Linked DNA regions of Anolis sagrei. The protein of the gene in region 1 interacts with the protein of each later gene in a pairwise test. Links are inferred from orthologs where the notes say so. Each region holds a gene or a part of one and is shown on either strand. Other genes may lie near its edges. The genes, in order: EEF1G, ILF2 and KLHL18.

Region 1 (8,042 bases):
AAACACTGAGAAGCATAGTGGAAGAGAGTTTAAAAGTCAAAAAACAAAAATTAAAATACAACACATGCGCAAAACCACAAATACACACATATATATACACACAAAACACATATACACGGACCGGGCCACAGCAACGCGTGGCAGGGGATGGCTAGTTTGATATAAAGGCGATGGTGTATGGTGCGGACTTTACCTGCTTGTTGTAATGCATGATGCCCAAGGTTGGGAAGACCCAGGTACTGGCGGGAGGCACAATATCGCTGTCGGCAAAGCTCACCCACTGGAGGACCTGGGCGGCCGCCTCTTTGGTGGCTCCTCGCAGCTCTTCGTTGCTGACTGAAGGAATGAAGGAGACGGTCACCACAATAGGCCTTGCTTGGATTCCTGAGCTGAATTCCCACAAACTATAAATCCCCCTTTATGGAGGTAATGACAAAGACACATGGGGGAATACTGTTACCGTAGTGTGCAATGGCGTTGCTCTCAAACACGCAGAACCCATCGTCCCCTTCAAAAGCTGGGACCTACAAAGAAAGAGCTGTCGTAAGCCACCAAAGGGATGTAAACAATGACGCTAAGTCTCCCAGTGCTCCCAAGAATACGCTTCCCAGTCTTGACAGGTCCCAGCTCCATCCCAGAGACCCACCTTCCCAACTGGGAATTTCTTCAGGAACTCGGGGGTCTTGTTGGTCTGCCCGAAGTGGAACTGGGGCGGGCTGGAGAGGACCTTGATCTTGGCGCCGCTGTACTGGGCCGCAATGAGGACCTTGAAAGCCCGCCAGTTTTCGGGGTAAGTGTAGAGAGTCTGCAGAAGGATAATATTAATATTATTATTATTACTATTACTATTATTTTACTGACACCAAACCACAGTATGTCACAGCAAACGAGATCTATATGCTGGATTTCCTATCACAAAATCACAAGTCGAACACTTCCCAAGCATCTAGGACTGTGTGATGTATACATATTTATTATTATTATTATTATTATTATTATTATTATTATTATACCCCACTTATTCTCTTCACAAACAAGACCCAAAGAGGTTATGTATCTATTATTAGTATTATCATTTATTATTTATTATTTATTAATTTATTATTTATTATTATTATATTATATTATTATAAAGGAGAGAAAGAGGGATGAAAAGAAAAAGGGGGAGGAAAGAAAGAGGTAGAGAAGGATGGAAGAGAAGGTAAAAAAAAGGAAAGGAATGAAAGAGGTAGAGAAGTAAGAAAGGAGAGAAAGAGGAAGGGAAGGAAAAAAGAAAAGACAAGTATGGATAGAAGCAAAAAGCAAAGGAAGGAAGGAAAGAGGTAGAGAAGGAAGAAAGGAGAGAAAGAGGAATGAAAAGAAAAAGGGGAAAAGAAAGAGGTAGAGAAGGAAGGAAGAGAAGGTAAGAAAAAGGAAAGGAAGGAAAGAGGTAGAGAAGGAAGAAAGGAGAGAAAGGGGGAGGGAAGGAAAGAAGGAAAGACCAAAGTATGGATAGAAGCAAAAAGCTAAGGAATTTATTATTATTATTATTATATTATGTTTATACCCTGCTTATTCTCGCCACAAACAAGACCCAAATTGGCTACGCATCTATTATTAGTTTTAGTATGCATTATTATTACTATTATGTTTATACTCTGCTTATTCTCTCCCCAAACAAGACCCAAAGTGGCTATATATCTATTATTATGTTTATATCTATTATTAGTATTAATATGTATTATAATTATTATTGTTTATACTCTGCTTATTATCTCCACAAACAGTGGCTATGTATCTATTTTTAGTATTAGATGTATAATAGTAATAGCAATTATAATTATTATTGTTTATATTCTGCTTATTCTCTCCCCAAGGAAGACCCAAAGCAACTATGTATCTATATTAGTATGTATGTATTATTATGTTTGTACTCTGCTTATTCTCTCCCCAAGGAAGAACGAAAGTGCCTATGTATCTATTATTATTATTATTATACCTGCTTTTCTCTCCAGAAACAAGACTCAAAGTGGTTATGTATCTATTATTATTATGTTTATACCCTGCTTATTTTCTCTACAAAAAAGACCCAAAGTGCCTATGTATCTATTATTATTACTATTATTATTATTATTATTATTATTATACTCTGCTTATTCTCTCCACAAGCAAGACCCAAAGTGCCTATGTATCTATTATTATTATTATTTATCTATTGTTATTATTATTATTATGTTTATACGCTGCTTACTCTCCACAAACAAGACCCAAAGAGGCTATGTATCTATTATTATTATTATGATGTTTATATCTATAATTAGTATTAGTATTATTATTATGTTTATACTCTGCTTATTCTCTCCACAAACAAGACCCAAAGTGCCTATGTATTATTATTATTATGTATTATTATGTATATATTATTATTTTTATACTCTGCTTATTCTCACCACAAACAAAACCCAAAGTGCCTATATATCTATTATTATTATTATTATTATGTATATATTATTATTATTATTATTATTATTATGTTTATACTCTGCTTATTCTCTCCACAAACAAAACCCAAAGTGCCTATATATCTATTATTATTATGTATATATTATTATTATGTATTATTATGTATATATTATTATTATTATTATTATTATTATGTTTATACTCTGCTTATTCTCACCACAAACAAAACCCAAAGTGCCTATATATCTATTATTATTATGTATATATTATTATTATGTATTATTATGTATATATTATTATTATTATTATTATGTTTATACTCTGCTTATTCTCACCACAAACAAAACCCAAAGTGCCTATATATCTATTATTATTATGTATATATTATTATTATGTATTATTATGTATATATTATTATTATTATTATTATTATTATTATTATTATTATTATGTTTATACTCTGCTTATTCTCTCCACAAACAAGACCCAAAGTGCCTATGTATCTATTACTATTACTATTATTATTAGGGATGAGGGGAAGGACAAGAAAGACATGAAAAGGAGCAGAGGAACAGGATGATGGGCAATGTAGTCCCACAATGGCTAGCAATACAAAGTATTAGACAGCAAAAGGAACAGGATGATGGGCAATGCAGTCCCACAATGGCTAGCAATACAAAGTATTAGACAGCAAAAGAACAGGATGATGGGCAATGTAGTCCCACAATGGCTAGCAAGACAAAGTATTAGACAGCAAAGGAACAGGATGATGGGCACCAGATTGCCCCAAGGCTTCTCAGTCCCAGTTGTCACAACAGGCCAAAGAACAGCCTGCAAGCTTGGGCCCTCTGAGTGTTTGGGACTACAACTCCCATCATTCCTCGCAGCCTCAGGCCCCTTCCTTTTCCCCCTCAGCCGCTTAAGGAATGATGGGAGTTGTAGTCCCAAACACCAGGAGGGCCCAGGGGGGAAAGGAAAGGGCCTGACGCTGTGAGGGATGATGGGAGTTGTAGTCCCAAACACCTGGAGGGCCCAGGGGGGAAATGAAAGGGCCTGAGGCTGTGAGGAATGATGGGAGTTGTAGTCCCAAACACCAGGAGAGCCCAGGGGGGAAAGGAAGGGGCCTGAGGCTGTGAAGAATGATGGGAGTTGTAGTCCCAAACACCTGGAGGGCCCAGGGGGGAAAGGAAAGGGCCTGAGGCTGTGAGGAATGATGGGAGTTGTAGTCCCAAACACCTGGAGGGCCCAGGGGGAAAAGGAAAGGGCCTGAGGTTGTGAGGAATGATGGGAATTGTAGTCCCAAACACCTGGAGGGCCCAGGGGGGAAAGGAAAGGTCCTGAGGCTGTGAGGAATGATGGGAATTGTAGTCCCAAACACCTGGAGGGCCCAGGGGGGAAGGAAAGGGCCTGAGGTTGTGAGGAATGATGGGAATTGTAGTCCCAAACACCTGGAGGGCCCAGGGGGGAAGGAAAGGGCCTGAGGTTGTGAGGAATGATGGGAGTTGTAGTCCCAAACACCTGGAGGGCCCAGGGGGGAAAGGAAAGGTCCTGAGGCTGTGAGGAATGATGGGAATTGTAGTCCCAAACACCTGGAGGGCCCAGGGGGGAAAGGAAAGGTCCTGAGGCTGTGAGGAATGATGGGAGTTGTAGTCCCAAACACCAGGAGTGTCCAAGCTTGGGCCCAAGCCTGCTTCTAGACTCCCTCCACTCCACTGAGGCCTAAGAAGCCACTTCGACGTGGATAGAGTGACCCGACACTCCCCCCCGGAGGCCCTTCTCGCCCCCATTTCTCGCCCTTCATCCGCTTCCTCGCCCCCATATAGGCCCCAAAACCTCCGCCGGGGTCCCCTCTCCCCACTCGTCCCGCTTCGGGGCCCCTCCGTGGCTCCCCGGCCCCGATGGAAGCGGATGGAGGCCGGCTCCCCCTCCGGAAAGCGAGCTCACCCCGGCCGCCGCCATCTTCGCGAGGAGAGGAAAAGGAGGAGCGTCGCACGGCGCGGCCGTAAAGCGCAGCAGTGCGACATTCCCCGCCGGCCTCTTCTGTGACGTCACCAGAGAGAGAGAGGCGGGGCCTTGCGGAGGAGAAATGCCCAAGGAAACATAGAGCTAGCCAAAAAATAGTAGACAACCATCACCCTCAATCGGAGAGGGAGTTTCCGGGTTGCTCAGAAATTCTTTCCCAGAAACGCCCAAGGAAACATAGAGCTAGCCAAAAAATAGTAGACAACTATCACCCTCAATCGAAGAGGGAGTTTCCAGGTTGCGCAGAAGGAAATGCACAAGGAAACATAGAGCTAGCAAAAAAAGTAGTAAACAACCATTACTCTCAATTGGAGAGGGAGTTTCCAGGTTGCTCAGAAAGAAATGCCCAAGGAAACATAGAGCTAGCCAAAAATAGTAGACAACCATCACCCTCAATCAGAGAGGGAGTTTCCGGGTTGCTCAGAAAGAAATGCCCCAAGGAAACATAGAGCTAGCTAAAAAATAGTAGACAACCATCACCCTCAATCGGAGAGGGAGTTTCCGGGTTGCTTATAAATTATTTCGCAGAAATGCCCAAGGAAACATAGAGCTATCCAAAAAATGGTAGACAACCATCACCCTCAATCGGAGAGGGAGTTTCCGGGTTGCTTATAAATTATTTCGCAGAAATGCCCAAGGAAACATAGAGCTATCCAAAAAATAGTAGACAACCATCACCCTCAATCGGAGAGGGAGTTTCCCGGTTGCTCAGAAATCCTTTCCCAGAAATGCCCAAGGAGACATAGAGCTAGCCAAAAAATAATAGACAACTATCACCCTCAATCGGAGAGGGAGTTTCCGGGTTCCTCAGAAATCCTTTCCCAGAAATGTCCAAGGAAACATAGAGCTAGCCAAAAAATAGTAGACAACCATCACCCTCAATCGGAGAGGGAGCTTCCGGGTTCCTCAGAAATTCTTTCCCACCATATGGTTACAGTCTTATTATTATTGGTACATATTATTATTATTATTATTATTATTATTATTATATGTTACATTACATTATGTTACATTGTTATAGTGCTATTACTGGAATATTATATTATTATTATAATTATTATATTATTATATTATGTTACATGGTGAAAGTGCTATTATTGGTATAGTATTATTATTATTATTATTATTATTATATTATATTGCATTGTTGTAGTGTTATTATTGGAATATTATTATTATATTATTATATTATTATTATATTATGTTACATGGTTAAAGTGCTATTCCTGGTATATTATTATATTATTATTATATTATATTGCATTGTTGTAGTGTTATTATTGGCATATTATTATAATATTATATTATGTTACATTACATTATATTACATTGTTATAGTGATATTCTTTGTATATTATTATTATATTATTATATTACATATTATATTTATATTATTATATTATATATTATATTATACTATATTTCATTGTTATAGTATTGGTATATTATTATTATTACATCACATTACATTATATTACATATTACATTGTCATAGTGGTATTATTCGTAGATTATTAGAATATAATATTATATTATGTGACTTACATTATATTACATTGTTATAGTGCTATTCTTGGTATATTATTATAATATTATTATTATATTATATTGCATTCTTATAGTGTTATTATTGGCATATTATTATAATATTATATTACGTTACATTACATTATATTACATTGTATGTTTTGCATGTTTTGATATGGTCAAAATTGACTAATCAATAAAGAATTGTTGTTGTTGTATATTACATTGTTGTAGTGCTATTATTGGCATATTATTATAATATTATTGTATTATATTACATTATGTTATACTACATTGTTATAGTGCTATTATTGGTATATATAATAATAATAATAATAAATAATAATCTTAAATCGGCATATTATTATAATATTATTGTATTATATTACATTATGTTATACTACATTGTTATAGTGCTATTATTGGTATATATAATAATAATAATAATAATAAATAATAATCTTAAATCGGCATATTATTATAATATTATTGTATTATATTACATTATGTTATACTACATTGTTATAGTGCTATTATTGGTATATATAATAATAATAATAATAAATAATAATCTTAAATCGGCATATTATTATAATATTATTGTATTATTTTACATTACGTTATATTACATTGTTATAGTGCTATTATTGGCATATTATATAATCATAATAATAAATCTTATTATTTATTATAATAATAAATAATTATTATATTTTTATATTATATTATACATATTATTATATTTATAATAAATAATATATTATGAAGGTGGCTCCCTCCACCTTCCTGACTGTTTACACAAATCTCAGCACGCAATCAAAGATAAGAATCCCCGTAAAAGTCCAGAGAGCGAAGGCTGGGCTTCCTCCTCCTTCTTCCTCCCGGAGAAGAAGACGGGCCACCAACCGTGCCCTGCCCAGTGGTCATAAACAGGGGTTGTCCTTGGTCTTGAGGCAGGTTCCAGCCTTCCTTTGGCAGGTTAGATCTTCCCTTCCTTTCTCAAAGGAAGACCTGGAGAAGCGGAAGAGAACGAAAAGCCAAGGGAGACGTATCATCTGGGAGGCCACCACCCATGGAGGAGCATTCCTTTTGGTGATCCAGCGGGCAACGTGGTCCAAACCAAAGTATCTTTTGGAGAAGATGGAGGCCAGGAGGGATCTGGAACTCAAGAACCAGACCTCCCTTGACCACAGCGTTTGGAATTGGTCCTCCGTTGGTGCCTTCAATGAGGATGAAGACCTTCAGATGCCTTCTGACGTTGCCTTTGGCTTGCGGATGACCATCGTCGTGGTCTATGCGTTGGTCTGTGCCATGGGGCTGTTGGGAAACGCGTTGGTGATGTACTTAATCCGAGCACAGAAGATCCGCCCCGCGCCGGCCATTAATATCTTCGTCTTTGGCTTGGCGGCGGCCGACTTCCAGTTCTCCTTGACCCTTCCCTTCTGGGCAACCGAGATGGCGCTGGACTTCAGCTGGCCCTTTGGCATAACCTTATGCAAGATAGTCCCATCGATGACCGTCCTCAGCATCTACACCAACGTCTTCTTGCTCACGGCCATGAGCGTTGCCCGCTACCAGTTGGTGGCTTCAGCCATCAAGGATGGTTCCAGAATCACAATGCGCGTGGCCAAGTGGACAACGTTGGCTCTTTGGGTCTTAGCCATGGGAGCCACCATTCCGACCATGATCTACACCTCTGTGGTGGACGTCCTTGGGGTGGAAATCTGCGTTTTCAAGTTCCCGTCGCCGTTTTGGTTGGGCGCCTACCAACTCCAGAGGGTGGTCTTCACCTTCGTGGTGCCATTAGTGGTCATCTTGACCTCCTACCTGCTCCTCCTGAGGTTCCTCCACGTCCGCCGTGTCTCCGGTGAGAACTCAAAGAGGCGGAAACAAGTCATGGCTACGGTCGGCTTAGTGGTGGGGTGCTTCTTCGTCTGCTGGTTCCCCAACCACGCCGTGACCTTTTGGGGCATCCTAATCAAGTTCAAGGTGGTCTCTCTGGGGAAGGCCTTCTACGTCGTCCACACGTACTTTTTCCCCATCTCCACTTG
Region 2 (8,042 bases), about 20 Mb from region 1:
TGCGGATAAAGCCGGAGCTGAGGATTACGTGAAGAACACATTTAAGGAGAGTTATGTCGTGTATAAGTGTGTGGGGAAGGTTTATAAAACTTGAAATAGCTACTAAAATAATGTATAAATATTAAAATAAATATAGCATCCCTACTTCGTGGATTTTCATTTTTCGCGGGTAGTCCTGGAACCTAACACCAGCGATAAGTGAGGGAAACCTGTATATTATATTATATCGCCCTATCAGCCCACCAGGACCCTAAGATCTTCGGGAGAGGCCCTTCTCTCCATCCCGCCTGCTTCACAGGTGTGGCTCGCGGGTACGAGAGATAGGGCCTTTTCTGTGGTGGCCCCGCGGCTTTGGAATGCCCTCCCTACTGAAATAAGATCAGCCACCTCGCTAATGGCATTTCGGAAAAAACTGAAAACCTGGATGTTCCAGCAAGTTTTCGGCTAACCCGACCTGATGATGCTTGATCATGGATTAGCAATCTCGGACAACGAATTTGGATTGTGACTTTAATTATGAGATGTTCTGGTCTGTATTGGTGGCCCAATACTTTTATGTATGTATATGTATGTATTTTATATTTTAACTTTATATTTGTAATTGGAATATTGTAGTTTTAAATATGCTGTAAACCGCAATGAGTCGCCGTATAGGCTGAGATATTAGCGGTATATAAGCGTACCAAATAAATAAATAAATAAATGGTAATAATATAATATATTGTATATACATATTACTTGTAAGCTGCTCTGAGTTCCTCTTTGGGGTGAGAAGGGTGGGATATAAATGTCGTAAATTAATACTGTCTATACTTGAGTTTTTCAACCCTTTTTTTAGGCTGAAAAAGCTCCCCTCGGCTTATACTCGAGTCAAGATTATTTTTTATTTTACTCTATTATCATTATCATCATTATTATTACATTTATAGGTTAAGTTTATTATTTTTATTATTATTACTTTTATTATTTTACTCTATTATTATTGGAAGGATACGTACACATGTACATTGAAGAAAGTTAGAATAACGGATTAGTCAGAGTTGGACAGTCTTATGTAAATATTAATAAACATTCAACCTACTGATGCTTCAATTAATGTAATTTTATTAGTATCTATTTTTATTTTGAAACAGACCCATAGCGGCTGAATTTCCCACCCTCGGCTTATGCTCGAGTCAATAAGTTTCCCCAGTTTTTTGTGGTAAAATCAGGTGCCTCGGCTTATATTTGGGTCGGCTTATACTCGAGTATAATACGGTAAGTAAATAAATAAAACAAACCCGGAGGGCACTTTTCAAAGACGACTTACCACATAGAAGTCAAAAGGGATGTGAGGCACAAAGGGCCGGAACCTGAAACACAAGGTGACAGGAAAGAGAGTGTGTTTTGATTTCATTCCCGCTGGAACCCCAAGCCAAGGCTGGATTTATATTGTCCTATATCCCAGGATATTATCCAAAATTATCTGCTTTGAACTGGATTATATAAGTCTACATGGCCAAATAATCTGGGACCATATCCTGGGATGTAGGACAGTGTAGATCCAGCACAAGGCACGTAACAATAACAATCATTCTATTTATTCCTCGCCTTTGGGCTCAAAGCAGGGCACAACCAAGTCAAAGACATCTATAAAAGGACACCACAAAACAACACAACATGCGCAACAGCAGCCGAGCCACAGAAGAAATACCTAAAGCTTGCAGTGTTAAATTCCCACTGTCCCAGATACAGCACACTTTCGAGGTCATGGAAAACTACACTGACAGCACAGATCAAGCTGTCAAGCTTTCAAGGGGTGTGTCCACACTGTATTATTAATGCAGCTCAACACCACTTTAGCCGTCACGGCTCCATGGTATGGCATCCTGGGGTCATATCTGAAGGGCTTTAGCCTTCTCTGCCAAAGTGCGGGTGCCTCACCAAACTACGACTCCCACAGACACAAACAAAGATGGAGGTGCTACTCGAGGACTGTCTCTCTCTCACACACAAACACACACACACAATCTCTGGGACTTACCCACTGCCAGGGCCTCCCCGAGAGCCAAAGCGCCCTCCACGACCACGGCCTCTATCGCCCCTGTTAATTAGGAAAAAAGCCAGAATGAGATTTCGTTTTTTAGGAATGTTCCCATTAGAAAATGTGGGAGAACTACAGTTCCCAGAATCATGGGTCAATCCTCCCCAAACCAGCTGGCCATGCTGCGTCTGCGTGTCAAGTGAGGTCCAGATCCGTCGTCAGCTGGGTTCAGTTCTCTCTGGATAAGGGTGAACTACAAGTCCCATATGCCAAGGGCAGGCACCCCCAAATCCTGCCAGTATTATGTTTGTGGAGGCAGGAGGCCTCTGCCACAATATATATAGATAGATAGATGCGTATAGAAAGATAGATATAGACATTCAATATATTTAATGCTATATATAGAGAGAGCACAGAATATATAAAGGCATTAAATAAAACACCATATATATGTTAATACTATATTTATGTAATATTTAATATTGCATAATATGTAATATATAGATAATATAGATATATATTACACCCACACAATATATATACAGTGTTAAATATTATACAATATCAAATGTTATGCAAGTATGATGTATGTATATGTATATATAGTTTTAATGTCTTTATATATTCTGTGCTTATATATATATATATAGCATTAAATATATAGAGTATGTATATTATAATATATATATATATATATATGCAAAGTACAAAGGCATTAAATAAAACACCATATATATGTTTATATCATATTTATGTAATATTTAAAATTGTATAATATGTAATATATAGATAATATAGGTATATTACACCCACACAAATATATACAGTACTAGCTGTGCCCTGCCATGCGTTGCTGTGGCCTATAGTAAAACTTATCAAAGTTGAGGTAGATATCTGGACTATTATGAAAGAGAGGTACCTACCTCTTCCTTCCCCCTTTTCCTCCCCCTTTCTCTCCTTTCTTCCTTCTCTACCTCTTTCTTTCTTTCCTTCTTTCACTACTTGGTTTCATCCTTCTCTCTTTCCTTCATTCCCTCCCCCTTTCTTCCTTTGCCTTTCTTCCCTCCCTGTTTGCTTCCTTCTTTCGCTTTTTATTTCCTTTTATTTCACCACCATCATAACAATAGCAATAATGCAATGCATTGCCTCCGGGACCTGACACCTCTCCCATTCCCCCTAAAAGGGTCTCAGAGGAATAATAGCATCATAATAATCATAGAAATAACAACCTTTACCCGCCACGCATTGCTGTGACCAACCTTCCCTCTTTCTCTCCTTCTTTCCCTCCTTCCTTCCTTCCCTCCCATCTTTCCTTCTCCTCTTCCTTCTCTATCTCCTTCCTTCCCCCTTTTTCTTTCTCTTCTGGCCTCTTTCCTTCCTTCTCTCTTTCCTTCTTTCCTTCCCTCCCTCTTTCTCTACATCTTCCCCCTTTCTTCACTCCCTCTTTCCTTCCTTCATTCCCTTTTTTCTTTCCTTCTCTCCTTCCTTCCTTCCCCCTTTTTCTTTCTCTTCTGGCCTCTTTCCTTCCTTCTCTCTTTCCTTCTTTCCTTCCCTCCCTCTTTCTCTACATCTTCCCCCTTCCTTCACTCCCTCTTTCCTTCCTTCATTCCCTTTTTTCTTTCCTTCTCTCTTTCCTTCCTTCCCCCTTTTTCTTTCTCTTCTGGTCTCTTTTCTTCCTTCTCTCTTTCCTTCTTTCCTTCCCTCCCTCTTTCTCTACATCTTCCCCCTTCCTTCACTCCCTCTTTCCTTCTTTCATTCCCTTTTTTCTTTCCTTCTCTCCTTCCTTCCTTCCCCCTTTTTCTTTCCCTCCCTCTGTCTCTCATTTCTTCCTTCTCTACCTCTTTCCTTCCTTCCCCCTTTTTCTTTCTCTTCTGCTGTCTCTCTTTTCTTTCCTTCCATCTTTCCTTTTCTTTCCTTTTCTTCTTCCTTCTTTCTCTAACTTTCCTTCCTTCCCCCTTTTCTTTATCTCCCTTTCTCTTTCTTCCTTCTTTCCTTCCTTCCTGTCTTTCCTGGATTTTGACAGGGCGGGAAGGGGTGCGGTGGGGTTTGGAGGTGGCGTGAAGTAAAAGGAGGTAAGATTGGGGCAGGCAAGTGATGGAGCGTGAGGTTGTGTGTGTGTGTGCGGCAGCGGGGGGAGTGATGGAGCGTGGGGTTGCGTGTGTGTGTGCGGCAGCGGGGGGGAGTGGGGTTGCGCGTGTGTATGTGGCGGTGGGGGAGTGATGGAGCGTGGGGTTGCGTGTGTGTGTGCGGCGGGGGGAGTGATGGAGCGTGGGGTTGTGTGTGTGCTTGCGGCGGGGTGTGTGTGTACGGGAAGGAGCGTAGCGGGGCTTGGAGTGGGCATGGCTTCCGCAGAGGGAACTGTGTGCGCGCGCCAGGGAACTTGCGGCTGGGCACCAATGCGCATGCTCAATTGTTTTGCCGTTTTGTGAGTGTGTTGTTGTGTTGTTTTTCATTTTGAGTAGATATGTTTGTACCTTGTGGGTTGTCTTATGGGCATGGCAATTTTGGTACAGTTTCGTTGGGGGGTTTTTGAGTTTTGTTTCCTCGTTGGATGCCCCTAACAAATTTATATATATAGATTAAATCTTATACAATATTTAAAATTATATAAGTATAACATAATATATATATATATGGTGATTTAAGGCCTTTATATAGTCTGTGCATATTATATATATATATATATATATATATATATATATAGCATTAAATATATTGAGTATCTATAATATATTAAATAAACTATTTAATATTTAATATCGTATAATATTTAATATGCGTGTGATATATTATATTATATATAGTTATAATATATTATCTATATATTAAATTATATCTATATTATCTATAATATAGATAATATAGATGATTATATATTATATTGTAGATATATTATCTATAATATAACATATATTATATGAAAATTATATATTAATTTAATATATATGAGATAAATGAAATACTATATATATTATTTAATACTGTATAATGTTTAATATATAGATCATATAGATATTATAGAGAATGTATCTATATTATCTATTATCTATATTATAGATAATATATCTACAATTTAATATATAGATAATATAGATACATTCTCTATAATATGTATATGATATTATATCTAATATATAGATCATATAGATATAATATCAGATAGATATTATATATATTATAGAGAATGTATCTATATTATCTATATATTATTTATATATTAAATTTAATATATATGAGATAAATAAAATACTACATATATTATTTAATGTGTAATGTTTAATATATAGAACATTATACAATATTAAATAATATACATAGTATTTTATTTATCTCATATATATTAAATAAATATATAATTTTCATATAATATATATTTTATATTTAGTATTATATATTATATTTAATAATATAATATATATATTATATATTAAATTAAATATTATTATATTATAATAACATTATATATATACATATATATATATTATATTAAATATTATAATATTATAATAATATTAAATATTAAATATTAAATATACATATAATAATATAATATATTTATTAAATTAAATACTATAATATTATAATAATATTATATATATATATATATATATATAATATACATAATATAATATGTATATTTCCATATTTCCATCTCTCTCTCTGACTTCTCCCTCTTTTTACCTCATGCTTCCTTCCAGTGAGAACCGTTCCGAGTCCGCAAAGCGCCTCTTCCTCCCTGAAGACCCTCCGCGAAGAATAACCACCCGGCCCGCTCTTTCGCCGCCGCCTTTGTCCACCTCGCAAGAAGCGTCGACGCGATTGGCCTTCCCAAGTGAGTAAAACCCGCCGTGGTAGGTTCCTAACCTTGCAGCCAATTCCTGTCTCGCGTTCCTCTTTTTTCCCCGCCCTTTCTTTCAGGTTCTGTGATTTTATTGGCTTCTGGGCCTATCAATCAGGCCGCGCGCGCACACCCTTTTCTCTTTTTTCTCCTCGTTCGCCAATAGGAGAAAGGAGAGAGGAGGAGAAAGGAGCGCATGCGCAGTGCCTCATTGGAGGCGATTGAGAGGAGAAAGGGACGCATGCGCAGTGCCTCACTAGGAGGAGAGGGAGAGAAAGGGACGCATGCGCAGTGCCTCACTAGGAGGAGATTGAGAGAAAGGGGCGCATGCGCAGTGCCTCACTAGGAGGAGATTGAGAGGAGAAAGGGACGCATGCGCAGTGGCTGACTAGGAGGAGATTGAGAGGAGAAAGGAACGCATGCGCACTAGGAGGAGAGAAGAGGCGAAAGGGGCGCATGCGCAGTGCCTCACTAGGAGGAGAGAGAAGAGGAAAAAGGGACGCATGCGCAGTGCCTCACTAGGCAGAGATGAGAGAAGAGAAAGGGACGCATGCGCAGTGCCTCACTAGGAGGAGATGAGAGAAGAGGCGAAAGCGGTGCATGCGCAGTGCCTCACTAGGAGGAGATGGAGAGAAGAGAAAGGGACGCATGCGCAGTGCCTCCCTAGGAGGAGATGGAGAGAAGAGGCGAAAGGGGCGCATGCGCGGTGCTTCCCTAGGAGGAGAGACTCCAAAGGAAATGACTCCAAGAAACGTGCGCATGCGCAGAACGTGACATGCTCTTATGTACTCCCTAAGCCGCCTGGAGTTCCAATGGAGCAGAGTGGCGCAGCGGAAGCGTGCTGGGCCCATAACCCAGAGGTCGATGGATCGAAACCATCCTCTGCTAATTTTTTCCCCTCTCTTCAAATTATTCAAATTAATATTCAAATGAATATTAATTACAGTAATTCATTTCTAAGTAGGTACGTGCTTCTCCTAAATTAACAAAGTGTGCTTAATGTTGTGTTTAAGGGAGAATTAAATTATCATTGCTATTTGCTAATTATTATTAATTATTATTATTAATTATAATAATTAATAATTAGTATTAATAGGATACCTAATAATTATTAATATTAATTATTAATATTAATTAATATTATTTATTATTTAATAAATAATAATAATAATAATTAATAATAATTAGCAATGATAATTTAATTCTCCCTTAAACACAACATTAAGCACGCTTTGTTAATTTAGGAAAAGCCCGTACCTACTTGGAAATTACTGTAATTAATATTCATTTGAATTTTGTTTTGGTTTTTTAATATAAATCAATATAAATAATTATTAATAGTTAATGATTAATAGGTATCCTAACTATTAATAATTATTAATATTATATAAATAATAATTAATAGTTAAGATACCTATTAATCATTAACTATTAATAATTATTTATATTAATTATTAATATTACTTAATATTAAAATTTAATTAATTTTAATTAATAGAATGCTTATTAATCATTAACTATTAATAATTAATTATATTAATTATTAACATTAATTAATATTAATATTTAATTAATATTAATTAATAGGATGGCTATTAATTGTTAACTATTAATAATTAATTATATTGATTATTAATATTAATTAATGTTAATATTTAATTAATATTAATTAATAAGATGTCTATTAATTGATATTAATTAAATATTAACATTAATTAATATTAATCATCAATCAAAATCAAAATATTAATTATATTAATATTAATTATAATTTCGTTATATTATATTAGCTATATTCGTTATATCAATAATATTAATTATTAATATTCATTATTAACTATTAATAATTGATTACTTGAATTATTAATATTAATTAATATTAATATTTAATTAATATTAATTAATAGGATGCCTACTAAGTATTAACTATTAATACTTATTTATATTAATCACTAATATTAATTAATATTAATATTTAATTAATATCAATTAATAGGAAACTATTAACTATTAATATTAATTATAATTTAGTTATATTAAATTAGCCATATTCGTTATATTAATAATAATATTAATTATTAATATTAATTATTAACTATTAATATAATATAATTAATTATTCACAAGTAATAACAATTAAGAATATTAATAATTAATTGATTATTTATATGGTGTCCTGGG
Region 3 (8,042 bases), on another chromosome or scaffold:
TATATAATATATTACATTATATATATAATATATATATGTTGTTGTTGTTCATTCGTTCAGTCGTCTCCGACTCTTCGTGACCTCATGGAGCAGCCCACGCCAGAGCTCCCTGTCAGCCGTCACCACCTCCAGCTCCTTCAAGGTCAGTCCAGTCACTTCAAGGATGCCATCCATCCATCTTGCCCTTGGTCGGCCCCTCTTCCTTTTGCCTTCCACTTTCCCCAGCATCATTGTCTTCTCCAGGCTTTGCTGTCTCCTCATGATGTGGCCAAAGGACTTCTGCTTTGTCTCTAGTCTCCTTCCCTCCAATGAGCAGCCGGGCTTTATTTCCTGGAGGATGGACTGGTTGGATCTTCTCGCAGTCCAAGGCACTCTCAGCACTTTCCTCCAGCACCACAGCTCAAAAGCATCTCTCTTCCTTCGCTCAGCCTTCCCTAAGGTCCAGCTCTCACATCCATAGGTTACTACAGGGAAGACCATGGCTTTGACTAGGCAATGGATCTTGGTTGCCAGTCTGATGTCTCTACTCTTTACTATTCTATCGAGACTGGACATTGCTCTCCTCCCAAGAAGGAAGCGTCTCCTGATTTCCTGGCCACAGTCTGCATCTGCAGTCATCTTTGCGCCTAGAAATACAAAGTCTGTCACGGCCTCCACATTTTCTCCCTCTATTTTCCAGTTGTCAGTCATTCTTGTTGCCATAATCTTGGTTTTTTTGATATTTACCTGCAGCCCGGCTTTTGCGCTTTCTTCTTTCACCTTGATTAGAAGGCTCCTCGGCTCCTCCTCGCTTTCGGCCATCAGAGTGGTGTCATCTGCATATCTGAGGTTGTTGATGTTTCTTCCAGCAATTTTCACCCCAGCTTTGCATTCCTCAAGCCCCGCACATCCTCGCATGATGTGTTCTGCATATAAGTTAAAAAGGTTGGGTGAGAGGATGCAGCCTTGCCGTACGCCTTTCCCAATCTTGAACCCGTCTCCTGTTCCGTGGTCAGTTCTGACTGTTGCCACTTGGTCCTTGTACAGATTCCTCAGGAGAGAGGGAAGGGGGCTTGGGATGCCCATCCCACCAAGAACTTGCCACAATTTATTATGATCCACACAGTCAAAGGCTTTAGAATAGTCAATGAAGCAGAAGTAGATGTTTTTCTGAAACTCCCTGCCTTTCTCCATTCTTCAGCTTCCGGATATTGGCAATCTGGTCTCTGGTTCCTCTGCCTTTTCTAAACCCAGCTTGAACATCTGGCAGCTCTCGCTCCATGTATTGCTGGAGTCTTCCTTGCAGGATCTTGAGCATTACCTTACTGGCATGAGAAATAAGGGCCACGGTACGGAAGTTGGAGCAGTCTTTCGCATTTCCCTTTTTTGGTATGGGGATATAAGTGGATTTTTTCCAGTCTGATGGCCATTCTTGTGTTTTCCATATTTGCTGGCATATGGCATGCATCACCTTGACAGCATCATCTTTTAAGATTTTAAACAGTTCAACTGGGATCCTGTCGTCTCCTGCTGCCTTGTTGTTAGCAATGCTTCTTAAGGCCCATTCCACCTCACTCCTCAGGATGTCTGGTTCTAATTCATTCACCACACTGTCAAAACTATCCTCAATATTATTATCCTTCCTATACAGATCTTCTGTATAGTCTCACCACCTTCTCTTCTCTCTTCAGCTTCTGTTAGGTCCCTGCCATCTTTGTTTCTTATCATACCAATTTTTGCCTGAAATTTACCTCCAATGTTTCTAATTTTCTGGAAGAATAATAATGAATTTTATATATATATATATATATATATATATATATATATATAATATTTTATATGTATATTTAATATATTATATTATATATTATATAATATTATATTATATTTATTTATTTGGATTGCTTTTACCCCGCCCTTCTCAACCCCCTAGGGGGGACTCAGGGCGGCTTACAAAAGGCACAATTCGATGCCTAACAATTACAGCATACAGTACACTATACAATACACAAATTTACCACATAATATCACAGTTATAACTAATTAAAATTTATACATTATATTATATTATATAATATTTTATATGTATATTTAATATATTTTATTATATTTATATATAATATATAATAATATTATATATATTATATAATATAATATTATTAATACAATATAATACTAATTAATAATATATAATATTAATATTATATTAATATATAATATTGATACTATATTAATATATAATATTAATATAATAATATTATATATTTATTATATTTATATAATATAATATTATAATAATGAATCATATATACATTACATTATATATATAATATTATAATATATTAAATATATATAATATAATATAATAATAATAATATTGAATTATATATATAATATTTTATATGTATATTTAATATATTTTATTATATTTATATATAATATATAATAATATTATATATTATATATAATATAATATTAATATATTAATAAATATTAATATAATATTAATATAATAACTACTAATATATTACATTAATAATATTATATAATATATAATATATATTATATTATATATATAAATATAATAAAATATATTAAATATACATATAATATATAATTATATATATAATTCATTGTTATTATATTAACATAATATAATATAATATATTAATATAAATATAATATTTAGGTAACGGCGCTCCATGCAGTCATGCTGGCCACATGACCTTGGAAGGTGTCTACGGACAACGCCGGCTCTTCGGCTTAGAAATGGAGATGAGCACCATCCACCAGACACAATTTATTTATTTCATTCACTTATACCCCGCCCTTCTCACCCCGGGGGGGACTCAGGGCGGCTTACAGGGGAAGGCACAATTAGATGCCCAAACACATAACAAATAATACAAAAATAACAATTCAACACTTAAGTTAAAAACATCGGTACATAGTAAAATCCTGAAACCTAAAAACAATCTCAAGTCAGGGTCCATATATCAGAGTCCACAGTCCGATCTACTCCGTTTGTCTTTGTCTATTCCCAGGTCCTTGATTTAATTGTTAGAGTGACCAAAAGCTTGGTCCCACATCCAGGTCTTTAGTTTTTTCCTAAATGCTAGGAGAGAGGTCGCCGATCTAATCTCCCCGGGGAGTGAGTTCCACAGGCGGGGGGCCGCCACTGAGAAGGCCCTGCTCCTCGTCCCCGCCAGCCTCGCTTGAGAGACTGGCGGGGTCGAGAGCAGGGCCTCCCCAGAAGATCTTAGACTTCGAGGTGGGACGTAGAGGGAGATCCGTTCGGACAAATACACTGTGCCGGAACCGTATAGGGTTTTATAGGTCAAGACCAGCACTTTAAATTCTGCTCGGAATTGGATTGGCAGCCAGTGGAGCTGACGCAACAGGGGGGTGGTGTGCTCCCTGTATGTCGCTCCGGTGAGCAACCTGGCTGCTTCTCGCTGTACAAGTTGAAGTTTCCGAGCAGTCTTTAATGGCAACCCCACATAGAGTGCGTTGCAGTAATCCAGCCGGGATGTGACAAGAGCGTGGACCACCGTGGCCAGATCCGACTTCTGGACTTAATGTCAGGAGACTACCTTTACCTTTACCTATAACATAATATAATATATATAATATAATAATAATATAATATAATATATATAATTAATATAATATAATATAACATAATATAATAATATAATATAATTAAATAAAATAAATAATATATATAATATAATATAATAATATAATATAATATAATAATTTAATATAATATGACATAATATAATATAATATATTATATATATAATAATATAATAATAATGATTCGTTATAGTAATAATCATAATAATCTATTTTACAAACCCGCCTGAAACGGAGCAAGAGAGAGCGCACGCGCGGAGGTAGTTCTCCCTCCGTTGCTGTGGCGACCGCCACTTCCTGCGTCTCCCCGTTGCCTAGGCGACGCCCGCTTCCTTCCCTTCCCAAAACCCCGCCCTCCCGGTGACGTCAGGCGAGGCTTCAAAGCGCAAAGGGGGCGGGGCGTCAGGCACAGAAGGGAGGAGGATGTCAATGATGTCACTTCCGGCGTTTCTCTCACTCTCTCAGTGAAAGCGGTGCGGCGACGGTGGCCGAGCGGGGCCAAGCCGAGGAGAAGGAGGAGGAGGTGGTGCTGCCGCCATGCTGGAGACGGCGGGCCCGGATCCGGAGCTGGACCCGGAGGATTTGGTCCACTTCTCGGTGGGGGACTTGCCCAGCCGGGGCTACGGCGTGATGGGAGAGATACGCAGGCAAGGGAAGCTCTGCGACGTCACCCTCAAGGTAAGGAAGGCCTCAGCAGGCCAGTTTGGGCCCTCCCTCCTTGTATGAGTTTGGGACTACAACTCCCACAATTCCTCACAGCCTCAGTCCCCTTCTTTTTCCCCCTCAGCCGCTTAAGCGGCTGAGGGGGAAAAGGAAGGGGCCTGAGGCTGTGAGGAATTGTGGGAGTTGTAGTCCCAAACTCATACAAACAGGTTGGGTCCCTAGGTGACTGTGGAGCCCTATTCTTGACCTGCATCTTCTCCCACAGTGAGGGCATCGGTTTCAAAGTGGAAGTCAGCCCCAGTCGGGGTTGGCTTGACATGCCTTCCTCTTGGCACGCTTCTCTTTTTCGCCCTCTTCAAATTCTACAGCACTGCTGGTCACAGCTGACCTCCAGCTGGAGCGGTCAAGGGCCAGGACTTCCCAGTTCTCAGTGTCTATGCCAGAGTTTTTAAGGTTGGCTTTGAGCCCATCTTTCAATCTCTTTTCCTGCCCACCATAATTCCGTTTTCCCTTCTCGAGTTCGGAGTAGAGCAACTGCTTTGGGAGACAGTGGTCGAGCATCCGGATAACGTGAGTTGATGGTGGAGGACGATCGCTTCAATGCTGGTGGTCTTTGCTTCTTCCAGCACGCTGACGTTTGTCCGCTTGTCTATCAAAGAGATTTGCAGGATTTTCCGGAGGCAGCGCTGATGGAATCGTTCCAGGAATTGCATGTGACGTCTGTAGACAGTCCACGTTTTGCAGGTGTATAGCAGGGTTGGGAGGACAATAGCTTTATAGACAAGCACCTTGGTATCCCTACAGGTGTCTCAGTCCTCAAACACTCTCTGCTTCATTCGGAAAAATGCTGCACTCGCAGAGCTCAGGCGGTGTTGTATTTCAGTGTCCATGTTGACTTCTGTAAACAGTCCACTTCTTGCAGGTGTATAGCAGGGTTGGGAAGACAATGGCTTTATAAACAAGCACCTTAGTATCCCATTTGTCCACCTGTCTTCCCAAGAGATTTGCAGGATTTTCCGGAGGCAGCGCTGATGGAATCGTTCCAGGAGTTGCATGTGACATCTGTAGACAGTCCACGTTTCGCAGGTGTATAGCAGGGTTGGGAGGACAGTAGCTTTATAAATAAGCACCTTGGTATCCCTACAGATGTCCCGGTCCTCAAATACTCTCTGTTTCATTCGGAAGAATGCTGCACTTGCAGAGCTCGGGTGGTGTTGTATTTCAGTGTCAATGATGACTTCTGTAGACAGTCCACGTCTCGCAGGCGTATAGCAGGGTTGGGAGGAGAAGGGCTTTATAAACAAGCACCTTGGTATCCCTACGGATGTCCTGGTCCTCAAACACTCTCTGCTTCATTCGGAAAAATGCTGCGCTCACAGAGCTCAGGTGGTGGTGTATTTCAGTGTCAATGTTGACTTTGGTGGAGAGGTGGCTGTCAAGGTAGCGGAAATGGTCCACGTTTTCTAATGTTACACCATTAAGCTGTATTTCTGGCATTGGAGAGGGAGTGGCCGGTGACTGCTGGAAGAGCACTTTGGTTTTCTCGATATTTAATGACAGGCCGAGCTTCTCGTATGCTTCTGCAAAGGTGTTTAGAGTGGCATTCTTCTGAATGCACACAGATGACGTTATCCTCAGTATACTGGAATTCTGTAACAGATGTTGTTGTGACCTTAGTTTTAGCTTTCAGTCTGCCGAGGGTAAATAGCTTGCTGATAGATGATTTCCACTCCGGTGGGGATCTTCCCATCAACAAGGTGAAGTATCAGAGCGATGAAGATGGAGAATAAAGTTGGGGCAATAACACATCCCTGTTTGACACCTGATTCCATCTTAAATGGGTCACTTTGGGAGCCATTGCTGTCCAATCCCAGGTGACAGCAGGATTGAAGAGAAACAACCAGAAAAGCTGACACGATGTGAGGATGTAAAAATCGAATTGCAAAGACTCTGGCACAAGCCAGTAAAGGTGGTCCCATTGGTGGTCAGCACACTGGGTGCAGTGCCTCAAGACCTTGGCCTGCACTTAAACACAGTCTGCACTAACAAAATTACCACCTGCCAGCTGCAGAAGGCCACCTTACTGGGATCTGATACATCACACAGTCCTAGGCACTTGGGAAGTGTCCGACGTGTGATCCAATACAACAGTCACCAGAGTGATCTTGTTTGCAGGGGACTCATCTTGTTGTGTTTCCAACTGACAAAATACCCAGTGCATAGGGATCACCAAATGCAGCATTGCCCAGGCACAAATCAAAGAACACAAAAGGCACTGCAGACACATTCAGCCAGAGAAGTCAGCCATACCAGAGCATTTGATGAACCAACCTGGACGCGGAATATTATTTGAGAACACAGACATTCTAGACACCATGTCAAACTACACAGAGATGCCCCTGAAATCCACAGGCATGTGAACAATCTCAACAGAAAGGGCATTCCATAGACATATATACTCCTCTTGCTTAAAGAATCATAGAATCAAAGAGTTGGAAGAGACCTCATGGGCCATCCAGTCCAACCCCATTCTGCCAAGAAGCAGGAATGTTGCATTCAAATCATCCCTGACAGATGGCCATCCAGCCTCTGTTTAAAAGCTTCCAAAGAAGGAGCCTCCACCACACTCCGGGGCAGAGAGTTCCACTGCTGAACGGCTCTCACAGTCAGGAAGTTCTTCCTCATGTTCAGATGGAATCTCCTCTTTTGTAGTTCGAAGCCATTGTTCCATTGCGTCCTAGTCTCCGAGGAAACAGAAAACAAGCTTGCTCCTTCCTCCCTGTGGCTTCCTCTCACATATTTATATATGACTATCATATCTCCTCTCAGCCTTCTCTTCTTCAGACTAAACATGCCGAGCTCCTTAAGCCGCTCCTCATAGGGCTTCTTCTCCAGACCCTTGATCATTTTACTATCAGATTACTATCAGATCCTTGGAAGATGCTAGCCACAGATGCAGGCAAAACATCAGGAGAATATGCTGCTAGAACACATTGGCCAGACAGCCCGGAAGCCACGCAACACACCAACTCCCATTCCCTTTGGTTATTTGCCCTGCAGACTGGGAACGATGGGAATGGTAACCCAACATTATTTATGCCTCTGAGGTTAGGGAAAGGTTAAAATGCTTTTTAAAGTCAGGCATCATATCCACAAGCCTTGGATCTATATTCAAACCCCGCTGATTGACCATAACAAACTACATCTGTATCACTGATGGCAGCTCTTGTCATGTTGTCTAATGATGAATAATACGGGAGTTGTATTCCAGCATTTGGAGGAGGGCCACATAAAAGGAAATGGAGGAATGGATGTTGCCCAAGAGCCTTGAGTTTGACACCTCTGCATCAATAATCTTCCTCTCTTCTGCTTTGACAGGCCTCATTTTGGAATATTTATTTATTTATTTCAGTTATTTCTACCCCGCCCTTCCCACCTCGGAGGGGACTCAGGGCGGCTTACAAAGGCACAATTTGATGCCGGCATCAACATAACAGTAGAATAAAAACAATATAGCAGCAATTAAACAATTAACAATCAGTTTCTACATTGCAACAATAAAACCAAAAAACCAATAAAACCAATTTCACCTAATTAACGCTCAGCATTCGGAATAATACTGTGTCCAATTCTGGGCAAAGCTGTTCAAGAAGGAGATGGACAGTGAGACAAAAGGTCTTTAGAGAAGGGCGACCAAAATGACCTAAGGACTGGAAACTATGAATAAATGAAAAAGTGCTGGCGACTTTCTCTGACTGTGC

Evidence for each region.
Region 2: the proteins of EEF1G (region 1) and ILF2 interact in a two-hybrid assay, tested with the Homo sapiens proteins (2 studies listed by BioGRID and IntAct). The two-hybrid records come from large-scale screens. The link is inferred for Anolis sagrei from reciprocal best matches to the Homo sapiens genes EEF1G and ILF2.
Region 3: the proteins of EEF1G (region 1) and KLHL18 interact in binary tests that used the Homo sapiens proteins (3 or more experiments, as listed by UniProt). The two-hybrid records come from large-scale screens. The link is inferred for Anolis sagrei from reciprocal best matches to the Homo sapiens genes EEF1G and KLHL18.

The regions. Positions count from the first base shown.
Region 1 is NC_090032.1:21,211,490-21,219,531, forward strand, and holds the start of EEF1G (elongation factor 1-gamma), read right to left. Parts: upstream 4,495-8,042; 5' UTR 4,402-4,494; coding exon 4,387-4,401; intron 806-4,386; coding exon 647-805; intron 525-646; coding exon 461-524; intron 337-460; coding exon 194-336; intron 1-193. Other genes in the region: RXFP4 (relaxin-3 receptor 2), read left to right, coding at 6,754-8,042. UniProt on the Homo sapiens protein: Probably plays a role in anchoring the complex to other cellular components.
Region 2 is NC_090032.1:1,533,699-1,541,740, forward strand, and holds the start of ILF2 (interleukin enhancer-binding factor 2), read right to left. Parts: upstream 5,837-8,042; 5' UTR 5,710-5,836; coding exon 5,705-5,709; intron 2,084-5,704; coding exon 2,024-2,083; intron 1,353-2,023; coding exon 1,310-1,352; intron 1-1,309. UniProt on the Homo sapiens protein: Chromatin-interacting protein that forms a stable heterodimer with interleukin enhancer-binding factor 3/ILF3 and plays a role in several biological processes including transcription, innate immunity or cell growth.
Region 3 is NC_090026.1:130,253,369-130,261,410, forward strand, and holds the start of KLHL18 (kelch-like protein 18), read left to right. Parts: upstream 1-4,040; 5' UTR 4,041-4,155; coding exon 4,156-4,296; intron 4,297-8,042. UniProt on the Homo sapiens protein: Substrate-specific adapter of a BCR (BTB-CUL3-RBX1) E3 ubiquitin-protein ligase complex required for mitotic progression and cytokinesis.